3 linked regions of the Drosophila melanogaster genome follow. The protein of the gene in region 1 interacts with the protein of each later gene in a pairwise test. Each region holds a gene or a part of one and is shown on either strand. Other genes may lie near its edges. The genes, in order: CG5445, CG4306 and mura.

The links.
Region 2: the proteins of CG5445 (region 1) and CG4306 interact in a two-hybrid assay, tested with the Drosophila melanogaster proteins (one large-scale study listed by BioGRID).
Region 3: the proteins of CG5445 (region 1) and mura interact in a two-hybrid assay, tested with the Drosophila melanogaster proteins (one large-scale study listed by BioGRID).

What each region holds. Positions count from the first base shown.
Region 1 is NC_004354.4:17,280,468-17,284,226, forward strand, and holds the start of CG5445 (uncharacterized protein), read left to right. Parts: upstream 1-2,028; 5' UTR 2,029-2,160; coding exon of another isoform or gene 2,161-2,226; 5' UTR 2,227-2,377; intron 2,378-2,436; 5' UTR 2,437-2,508; intron 2,509-3,294; exon of another isoform or gene 3,295-3,347; coding exon of another isoform or gene 3,348-3,759. Other genes in the region: CG8664 (uncharacterized protein), read right to left, coding at 1,344-1,922, 2,161-2,226; CG8661 (uncharacterized protein), read right to left, coding at 3,348-3,759.
Region 2 is NT_037436.4:18,461,435-18,464,833, reverse strand, and holds CG4306 (uncharacterized protein), read left to right. Parts: upstream 1-1,670; 5' UTR 1,671-1,765; coding exon 1,766-2,115; intron 2,116-2,293; coding exon 2,294-2,606; 3' UTR 2,607-2,877; downstream 2,878-3,399.
Region 3 is NT_033777.3:9,549,338-9,553,096, forward strand, and holds the start of mura (murashka), read right to left. Parts: upstream 2,002-3,759; 5' UTR 1,979-2,001; intron 474-1,978; exon of another isoform or gene 1-473. Other genes in the region: RnpS1 (RNA-binding protein S1), read left to right, coding at 2,846-2,847, 2,924-3,085, 3,354-3,759.

The sequences.
Region 1 (3,759 bases):
TTTTTTTTTTTTTTTTTTGTGGATTAACTTAAAGCATGTGCAATTATAATGAGAAAAACCCTAAATATAAAGCATAAAACCTAAGCCTAAGGTCTAGCTACTTACATTGTACTATATGCATAATCATTTTTGCACCTCCATATTTTTTTTTTTTTTCGCCAAAACGAATATTGTTATTCCTAGTGGGCAGTACAGTATCTCAAGGCGAATCAAACGTATATATCTAATCTTAGCTGCTGTGCTTAAGTTCTATTTCGGTTTTGTATTTTAATCACTTATACTCTCTATTTTTTGACATTTTTTTTTGTGACTTGGCTTGAATTTATTTAGTACTGGAATTAATTTAATTGATTGGTTAAGCATTTTTTATTGTTATTTGTTTTTATATACGCGGCTCAAACAATATTACTTTTAATAATATAAATACACGAATACATACAACACATCTATGAATGAAAAAGCGAACGAATGAAACAATAAATACATATATATAATTTAAAACAAAAGAGAGAATGCTTTAGTCGAGTTCCCCGATAATTATATAACCGTGTCTCAGCTAGTGTGAATGCGAGCGCGAAATTTTATTATTTTTCTGGGATATCGATAGGAATTGGAAAATAAAATAAGAAAAATTGATCAAAAGTGTGGGCGTGGCAGTTTTAGGCGGCTTGTGGGCGGTAGAGTGGGCGTGGCATCGTGGGCCCCATGTTTTCCTTTGCCGTTGGCGGTGTGGTAAGTTTTTCTTAATTTTGTAAATCAATTTTTATACCTAAAATTTCCAGCCACCGCGCTAACCAACTCGGTGTGGCTAAGGAATTTTGGTCGGAACGTATCGACGTATTGTATACTTGACATGGTCGGAGACCAATACATTTTCAACGAATCTAGTATACCTTTTTACTCTACGAGTAACGTGTTTACTCCCTTCATATTCTATTTGTTGCTTTTGTTGGAGTCCAGACCCATTGATACCGCTGGCGCCCATCATTTGAATCATCGAGTACAGAATATCCAGGAAGTCTGTCTATTGGCAATAGAATTAAGATTTTTGAACATATAACATCCTTTTTTATGGGTATAGAACATAAGGTTGAAGGTGGTTAAAGTCAAATAAGTCAGTTAGTAATAATGAGCACATCGATTTCCAAAGCTCTGTATGTGTCACATTCGTTTAAAAGTTTGAAACAGCAAAAAAAAGCCATGTTTGTCGGTCCGTCGGTATCTCGTGATCTGAGACACTATACAGGCTAGAAAGGTGTATAAGATATGTTGTCACACCCCGAACTCCCAAATCAGGAAGAAAGCATCTGCTTTGCTCATAATTTCATGGTTTTATTACCAACTTATGTCATGCTGGCTATGCAGGTATTGATGTTGGGCACAAAGGCGTTGCAGCCGTCGACCACCTTCTTGGTGGCATCGACGTAGCAGGAAGAGGTGTTGAAGGGCAGGGCTGCGCCCTGCTTGATCAATGTGTTCATGCGGCGGACAAGGGACATGGTGGCGTAGAAGGCCTTCAGGGTGCAACGCATGAAGCTCTTGGTGGAGGAGACGACGCTCCTGGAGGTGGAGGCGCACAGCTCGGACTTCATGTTGATGATCTTGTTGCTGGTGATGATCATTTGCTTGACATTGTTCAGCATGGCCTGGATATCCTTGGGAATATCGCCGGTGCAGGTGCTCAGGTCGTCTACGTAGTTGGTGCAGGTGAGCAGCACATTGGCCACCTCCTCGACGATGCACTTGGTGCCGTTGATGCCCTTGTATCCGGCCCACAGAATCTTGCGGCACGATCCAATGAAGCCGAACTGCTCGACGCCCATGAACTCATCCTCCATTGCCATCAACTCGGCGGCGTAGAGATCCTTAAGCTCGGCATCGGTGTAGGGCTCGAAGTCCTCGAAAGCACCTACGGCACTGGCCTAAAACAAGTTAGGAATACGATTCGATTTTGGAATAACTGTCAAAATATTTGACTTCAAGTAGCACACGTTTTAAAAGCACTTCGGAAAAAAAATTGAACAAAATATATTTGCTTTAAGCGACGATTCTGTTCATTAAATCTTTGTTTGCTGCACTTTTCGGATTTTTTTCAAACTCTAATAACGATGGCACTTGACTGTATTTGCTAGTAGTTCTTCATAAGGTTGTCTGACTTACGTTCGCTGTGGCCAGAAGGAAGCTGGCAGAGGCCACGACCAAGAGGCAGACGTTGAGTACTTTCATGTTACTGGTGGATGGTTTCACTGGCGAATGTTTGCTGACCGATCCGTGGGGTTTGTTTATATAGACGATTGGCCGGAGCCATATCAGTTAAGTGGCGATTCGGAGGTTCGATTTGCACATACACTTTGGAAAACCAATGTGCCGGCGATATGTATGCTTTAATTAAACCACCACACAAAGTCCGAAACTAATTTGACATTATCTATGCAGCGTGGACACACAAAGGAAGATAGCGAGATAGTCATATAGCCAGATTGTCCAGATTGGACAGGGATTCCTCAGGTAAGTCCGACACCACCCACCGCAAGCACTCCCATATATCGACGCGATGCATTCGATGCATAATCGCTCAAAGAAATCAATGGGTATTTTATTTAACAAAACAAAACCCTTGGAAAAGTCACCTATCTACGTTGTCAACGTCTGAGTGACAGCTTTTTAATATTTAAAGTGGCTTAAATCTAATTTATAAATAAGCATGAGCATTACAGTAAAAGAAGTATCGAGTATATTAAAAAACTAATTATACCAAAGAGAGAGCCTTTTATCTTCAAACCTGTCTCATGGCCCTAGGTTAAGGTGATCATATCTGTTGAGATATTGTTTTTGTCACACTTCCATTTTTATCAATATTCAATAGTGATAGAAAGTACACTCGCACTGGTTTTCGTTTAGGGGTGCAGACATTTGGTTAACAGTAACTAAACAATTATCTAACTATTCTGTACTCAATAAAATATAAATTTGTATTATAATTGAATTACTATTAATTTACTCTGACTAAAAATTGTATAAATTGTACAAATATACAAATATAGGTATGTTATAGAGCAACTTGTTATATTCCACTTAATACTTTTTGCAAATCGATGGAAATTCGCAAGACTAATAAAAATATAAAAAATATCATATATACGATATACCAGATCGACTCGGCTATTGATCCTAATCAAGACTATATGAAAACGCTTCCTTTTACTTTACGAGTAACGGTTATAAAAATTTAGTTACGAATAGTAATAAAAAGGCTTTCTCTCCTCTAACAAAATTAAATAACTAGCAAAAACTGTGATAACACGGATTTTTATTGAATGCTCGAATCAATTGCGGGCACTAAACCCCTAAGAAGTCAGCTTGGAGCAGCTGATGATGTTCTGGGGAAAGGCGGTGTAGTAGGTGGTCAGGGTGTTGACGGCATCGGAGACACAGGCGACGGCATTGGGACCGGTTTGCGGGATCTTCTTGGCCAGCTTGATGGCATTGTCCACTTGCTTCTTTAGGGACCACACCTTGCGCAGAGTCTTAACAAAGCAGCTGCCAGAGACCTTCGTCTCCTCGTCGTCCGTTTGGGGGCAAGTGTTGGACCTCAGATTGATGAGGTCGTTGCAAGTGCTGAGGATCTTATTGTTGGCGTTGATCAATTTGGTCACATCCTTGCTGGCGGTGACGCCGCACACGACCACGTCCGTGTTAAATTGGGTCGCACTGTCCTTGATGCCCGCCACCCACTTGATTATGCAATTGAGTCCCTTG
Region 2 (3,399 bases), on another chromosome or scaffold:
TGTAAAATTGTATTGTATATAACGCTAAATAAATAGTTTTCAAAATTTCATTAATCGACTATGTACAATTAATGGCACCACCTGGCACTCGCAGTTAAAATCGCATAAATCAACACAAAGTTATGTTGTCATGACGACCATGCCAGACCTCTTAGCTCACCAACTCGTGTCGCTTGTCCTGTTCTGATGCGATCTGGTTTCAGTTTTGGCCAGAAACCATGTCAAACTGGCCAGAGTTCCGCCGCAAGCCCCACCAACATCCATAGAAAACGTGCAACGAATTCCGCAATAAAATCGCAAAAATCATTTTAAATGCATTCGCATATATTCGCGCAACAAACGGCTGTCACTGCGGCAACCCGAACAAACATAAGCAAATTGTGCTTTTCCCATGATATGTTACCCATCATGTCACAAATATTGAAATCGAAAGCCAAACGGTATGGTTTTTGGTGACGGTCGTTGCCCATGTCTTTGTTATGATTTAAAAAAATTTTTTTAAGGGTAAAATTGTTATGTAAACATTAAGGGCACCCGTTTTTTTTAAGTTAAACCAACGTGAAACTTTATAAAAGGAACTAAAATCTACTTAGAGAACTTAATCAACCGAAATTAAAAAAAAAATAAAGGAAGCAAATATAAAGGAAGTATAATTGTCACTTAATATAAGAACCGAATCCTCTCACGCTGCAAATTGAAAATATATATTTGATGCTATTATTTCAAAAAGGGTAGGCGTGATAATTTTGGGTGGTTTGTTGGGGTTAGAGTGGGTGTGGCAAAAAGTGTTTTGGCATATCGATAACAATTTACAAAACTAATAAAAATATGAAAAAATATTAACACGTTTTTCAAAAGTGTGGGCGTGACAGTTTTGTGCGGTTTTAGGGCGTTTTTTTTTTAGCAAATCGATAGAAATTCACAAGACTAATTAAATTATGAAAAAATATCCAAACATGAAAAATATCAAAATTTTCAAAAATGTGAGCGTGGCAGTCTTTGTCATTTTTAGGGCGTTAGAGTGGGCGTGGCAAAGAGTTTTTTTTTTGCAAATTGATGGAAATTTACCAGAATAATGCAAGTATGAAAAATATTAACACGTTTTTCAAAAGTGTGAGCGTGACTGTTTTGTGCGATTTTAGGATATTTTAGGAAATATCGCGTAACGTAAGACCAGCTAGGAATTGAATAACGAGAGGCAATAACTTGAAAAGTTCAAATCTTGTCAGAATAATGATATCTATGACAAAAGACTATCAATACACAAAATAAAGGCCCCTACGCATATAACAAATAATTTATATATTTTATTTTACAATATTGTTAAATAAGACGCACACGTATAAGACGCACGCATAAGTATGCCGACTAGTGTACATAATAATACAAATAAACATAATAAAACACAAACTTCGACTTACCTTCGCGCTGTCCGAACTCATTTTACTCAATGACAACATGAAGAATTTTAAGCACTCTGAATTACTATTGAAAATTCATTGGCTTCATTCATTCTTTGAACACATTCAGTTAGTTCATTTCGATCGCCGAATATATACGAAGTGAACGCAAAAAGAACGGGACCAACTGAATGACATGTATTCTGAATACGAAGTATAACGAATGGACAAAGAGAATGGTGTTATGCAGCCCTCTGGTGCACAAATATGCTCTCAGTAGACGTTCAACCTGAAGGCAGATCGTATCGCTTGGAGCTGTCAAGTCTAAATAAATATATTCATATATACGGGTATACATTTATAGAATGAACTACGAGTGTCTTATCGGTGTTCTAAGCTGCCTATTGGTAGCTCTCCCCAAAGGAAATTGCCACAGCATCAGTGGTTTAAATTCCACCTTGAATCTACCAGAGATTCGAGGTGACCAGTTCCTGTACTTTGGATTCGGAAGCAATATGCTGATCAAGAGAATTCACATCCAGAACCCTTCGGCGGTAAGAATTGGTCCGGCCCTGCTACCCGATTATCGATTGGACTTTGCCTTGGAATCAGCCGGTTGGAGCGGTTCTGTGGCCACCATCGTTCCCACCCAGGGTGATCATGTCTGGGGAACCCTCTGGAAGATCGATCTAAGTAATCTGCCGGATATAGACAGGTAAGTCTACGATATAGTATATGCCGTCTTGATAGGTTCCATTGTCGCTGTACTGCTATTATAAAATGTGTCTTATAAAATCACTTGAGCGTGTAAACCAATTACGAGGATCTATATTTCTTAGGACGGCTTAATTTATTTAGATTTATAATGCCTCCCAATTATATACTTTTTCCAGTCAAGAAGGCGTTAGTCAAGGCATTTATGAGCCTCGCACCGTTTACGTAAAACTCCATGGGGAATCTGAATCAACTCCTGCCCGAGCTTATCTACTGACCAAGCAGCCAGAGAGCAATCTGTACGAACTGCCTAAGGACTCCATTCCCTTATCCAGACAGCCCTCGAAAACATATCTGCAATGTCTCGTTAAAGGCGCTATTGAGAGCTCCGTTCCGGAGGATTATGTTCAGCGATTGAGGAGCATTAAGCATAATGGACAAGTTAACTCCTATCTGGAACGAAAACTGGAACTGGGAGGGGTAACCCTTTAAGTAATCAAAACATTAAATAAATTTCATAGTGCCTTTGACATTTTTATCAAAGATTTCTGAAAATATGTGGAGATTCACCTAAATAATACAATATTAATCAATACGTTTAATAACTAAATTATCGTCTTTATTGTTACACTGCAGCCATGAATGAATGAATCTTTGAATCTTTTGTAATAACATTCAAATTGTGCCATGTAATATTGCTACGCGAAATAAATCGCTTAAATCCATTTTAGTTTTATTTTACCAATAAATGTCTTCTTGTGCCGCATTTGTCATTTTTTGAATTCACAAATTCACAATTAAATTATCAGCGAATGATGATGGCTGTGGGAAAAAATTGGTCAGTGGTTCATTAGATCATTAGAATTGATTAGACAAGCGAAAATTTTAAGCACTGAAAACAGGTCCAACTACTGTGTAGTTAGTTTTCGAACTGATCGAAATTGATCATGTTTCATTTTTATTTGTTTTTGTTCTGAACGAAACTAAATTGATTAACTTTTCGCAGCATTCAAGAAACTCGCAAAGCTTTTTCATTTAAAACGATAGACGATCAAGTTAGGGCAGTGAATTTTGAGAATAGAGATCCATGTAATCATTAGAGAAATCTTGTATTTTGATTTTAAGTTTTATTATCTCAGAATGTAATGTAAAGAAACTTAACTAGTTTAGCTACAACAATGGGATATTTTTGGAATGTAAGTAAAATGCGTACTCTTCAAAAGCATTCCTAGAGAAGTTATCTTTATAATGAATTTGCAATTGCCCGTCTGAAATGTGTCTGCAC
Region 3 (3,759 bases), on another chromosome or scaffold:
TTGGTTGGTTGATTGGCTCAGGATGGCTGATAGGTTGGTTGGTATTGTAGGCAGTTCGAGGATTAAACGTTTAAGACTTGCGCTGAGATTCAGGTGTGCAGTTTGCATTTTGCAGATTACATTTGCATTTGCGCTTGCAGTAGTTGGTCAGTGAGTTTGAGATACAGATACGAATATGGCCAGATACAAAAGTGTCAACGGCACGGCACGGCAACGCAAGGGGCAGATGGCAGTCTTATGTGGTACATACGGGGATGTATTTAGTATACACTTTCGGTTTAGTTGCTTTCGGTATCAGTATCGCTATATATTGGTTTTTACGTGTTGCTATATACGAGAGTCAATAGGGGAAACACTTGATGATCGGTATTCGTTTGAGAGACGTGTGTGTTAAAGAAGCGGGGCACGTCTGGCCGCGGCCGTTAACAATGCAAATTTACCACCAAAACCAGCAATAAAATATTGTATGTATGCTAAAACAAAGAAAATAAAAGTAAAAGAAAACATTGCTATTACATTCAGTTGAGAAACTAATTACTTGGGTTGGTTTAGTTTGGTTAGCAATAAATGTATGTATATGTGGAATAATATTAAAATATAGATCTATATATATAAAGCCTGGTTTTAATTGCGGCCAATGAGTATTAATGCCAATGTAATGCAAATTAGACGTAAAATATAGGCAGGCAGTACAATATACAAATGCTTGTTTATCATAACGATAATGGTTGTAATTGTGGTTCAATATACAGTTGCAGTTAAACTAATAGTGCTGTAAACTATTTTTGGTTTGTAGTCTCTGAGAAATGGTTACTTGAATATGTTGAAGTGGAGTAAAGTTTCTTCTAAGAAGAAGGTTAGTGTTGCTTAAAACAGACATTTAAGTAGAAATATTATATATATTATATAATATTATATATATTATATAATGGAATTCTATAATTTGTACCCCAAAGATATTCTCCGCAATTATATAGTGATATATTCTTAGCATAAGAAGTTCTTTTTCTTTTCATAACATAAATTTCGATGCTTTTAAAATGGAAGCACTAAGATTTTGGAAGCACCCTCTTCGTATAACGACTGTGTCACGGCATAAAACCCCTCTTTGATCAGGGTATTTGTGGTAAATATTATTATAAAGATAAGATAAGTGCATTTCTAAACATAGATTATAAGACTTAATGCAGCGATAACATATACTTATGTATGTATGTATGTATATAAAGAGCGACCTCTTCGGTGCTCTCCTTCAACATTGTAAATAGACTACATTTCCGTAATTTAACTATTATTTTGACCACAAATGTGTGTGCGCGTTCTTCTATGCATACTTGGGCAGGGTCGGTGTTCGAGTTGGGGTCACACTACGCCCTCTCAAAATTAAAACAATAAATTATAAAAAATATACGCATATACACACAAGGAAGCAGGCATCAAAATATTCGCTTTTTCCATGGAGTCCGGACCCCAACACACATACACACTCACACCGATGCACAAAGAAACCGAGAGAGGGAGAGCAGAGAGCGGCACTGAGAGCACGTGAGAGGACCCACCTACTGTGCATACATGTGTCTGTTGGCAGCTCCTATTGTTGTTGCTATTGCGTAGTCATGACAGTCAACTTCATCGAATGCTCTTTTTCGCTTTTCTTAGTTTCGTTTTCTTTACACACATTGATTATATGAATATATGGATATGTATACCAACGAAACTCTTGTTGGCTAGCTGGTTTTTGGCAATTACGCTGCGCTGTGGCGTTTCAAAACACGATGATGGGGCTAAAAAAATGTGCCTTTGAGGTATAGACACTGGTTAATTTGCATTGACTGCTGCCACAACATAACTGCACTTTGCACTCACACACACACTAAGATATGTTTTTCAACGCAAAGCATTCGGGGCGGGGTTTTAATATTGCTATTGAGCTACAGGCAGAGTAATCCGAAATATTAAGAATAATAATACTACACACCAGACGCGGAGCTCCCGACTCGACGGCAGACAAAGACGCAGTGTGGTAAAATGTGCCCAGACCAGACGGGGCGCTCCTCTCTCTCACACTCTCTTTCTCTCTCTCGTTTCCGCTGCGAGTGTAGATATATGGATGGAAAATCGAAACTCTGTGGCTGTGGCCAGCCCCCGCGGCCCCCTTTTGCTATCTCGCTTGCTCGCATGGACAAAATCAACACAAGTTCACACACATACAGGCACACGGATGTGAACTCACAATGACAACCACTTCGTCACCAGCAGATAAAAAAGTGCTGGCCTTAAATCAATTGCGTTTTATGTAATTCCACTACATTCGTACGTTACGAAAACAAGCACTATTCATATTACACGGTATACATTATTACTTCCTATCGAGTCCAAATTGCTAGGCAGGAAAGGTCTTAAATTTTTACGCTTTATGGGAGTTTACCTTGGGTTCGACCTGACAAAGAGTGTGGCCGCGGCGAGACTGTGAGAAATTACCAAGTGGTGTCTGTTATCTTAATCCCAAATACTCTAGAAACATTTGTATACTAGAATTTGAGATTTAAGCATATTATAAAAGAAATTTATTTATATTTAACTAAAAATGCTTCTTAATATTCGCAAAACAGTTTTTTAATAGCAAAGTAAAGGAACTGGATTTTATTTTAATAAGTGTGTATTCTATTTTTTTGTCATATTTACACGTTCACAAACACGGCCACACTAATCTCCACTGAAAACGCTACTCGCATTTAACTCTAGTTGAGAAAAACAAGATTTATTAATAAAAACATTTTAGCTTGCACCTAAAAGAGTGTGCGGTACTATAAAACTAATCGTTTAACAAATCGGCAATACGAAAATGTAAGTATCTGCACCACATTTTGCTCCCTAAATGGTCTAAAACAGCTCGCTTTTCTCGACAAATAAAAAAAAACAGGGCGCGTGCCCAGAGTCTCGCCGGCGAGGGTGAGAAGGAAAAGGACAACAAGGAGAAGGTCGCCAAAGAGAAGGACGGCAAGGCGACCAGCGGCTCCTCGCGCAGGGACCGCGAACGCAAACGCCGCGGATCGGCGTCCTCCAGCAGCGACTCCAGAAGCAGGTAAATCAGCCGGCAAAGGTCTTTCCCACAAATGGCTGCCATCTGCCAACCGGAATAAGGGTTACTTTTAAAAGGAAGTCCTTCTTCTTCTGTAAAACGTAGCAGATAGTACGGGAAGAAAATAGCCTTCGAGCGAAAAGATTTTGTAAAAATTCACATACCATATATGGTAAAATTTCATCACAGTTAGGAAGTGTTTTACTTTGTACCAGCTTCATTGCCGTTTTCTTGGTTACGAGAAGTAAATAAAACACTTCACTTTTTCCAGCACATCGGACAGCAGCTCTTCGCGGAGCAGTTCCGGGTCATCGCGTTCCAGCTCAAGCAGCTCCAGCGACTCCTCGAGCTCCTCATCATCGTCGTCCAGCGATTCGGATCGCAGCGAGAAGAACCGAAGACGTGGCGGCGGCGCTGCTGGCAAAGACAAAGACAAGGATAAGCCCAGCGCCCGATCACGTTCCCGCTCTCGCACCCGTTCCCCCAGGCGTGTCTCCAAATCTCCAAGACCGGGCAGCAAGGCGCGAAAAGAGCCGGAGCGAGATCGCGATCGTCGTAGTCGGTCGAGGGATCGTGCCCGCCGTGCTGGATCCAACGATAGGGCAGCCGCCGATAGCAATAATGTTAAGCGGGAGCGTTCTCGCTCAGCCAGTCGTTCACGATCGCCACGCCGTCGT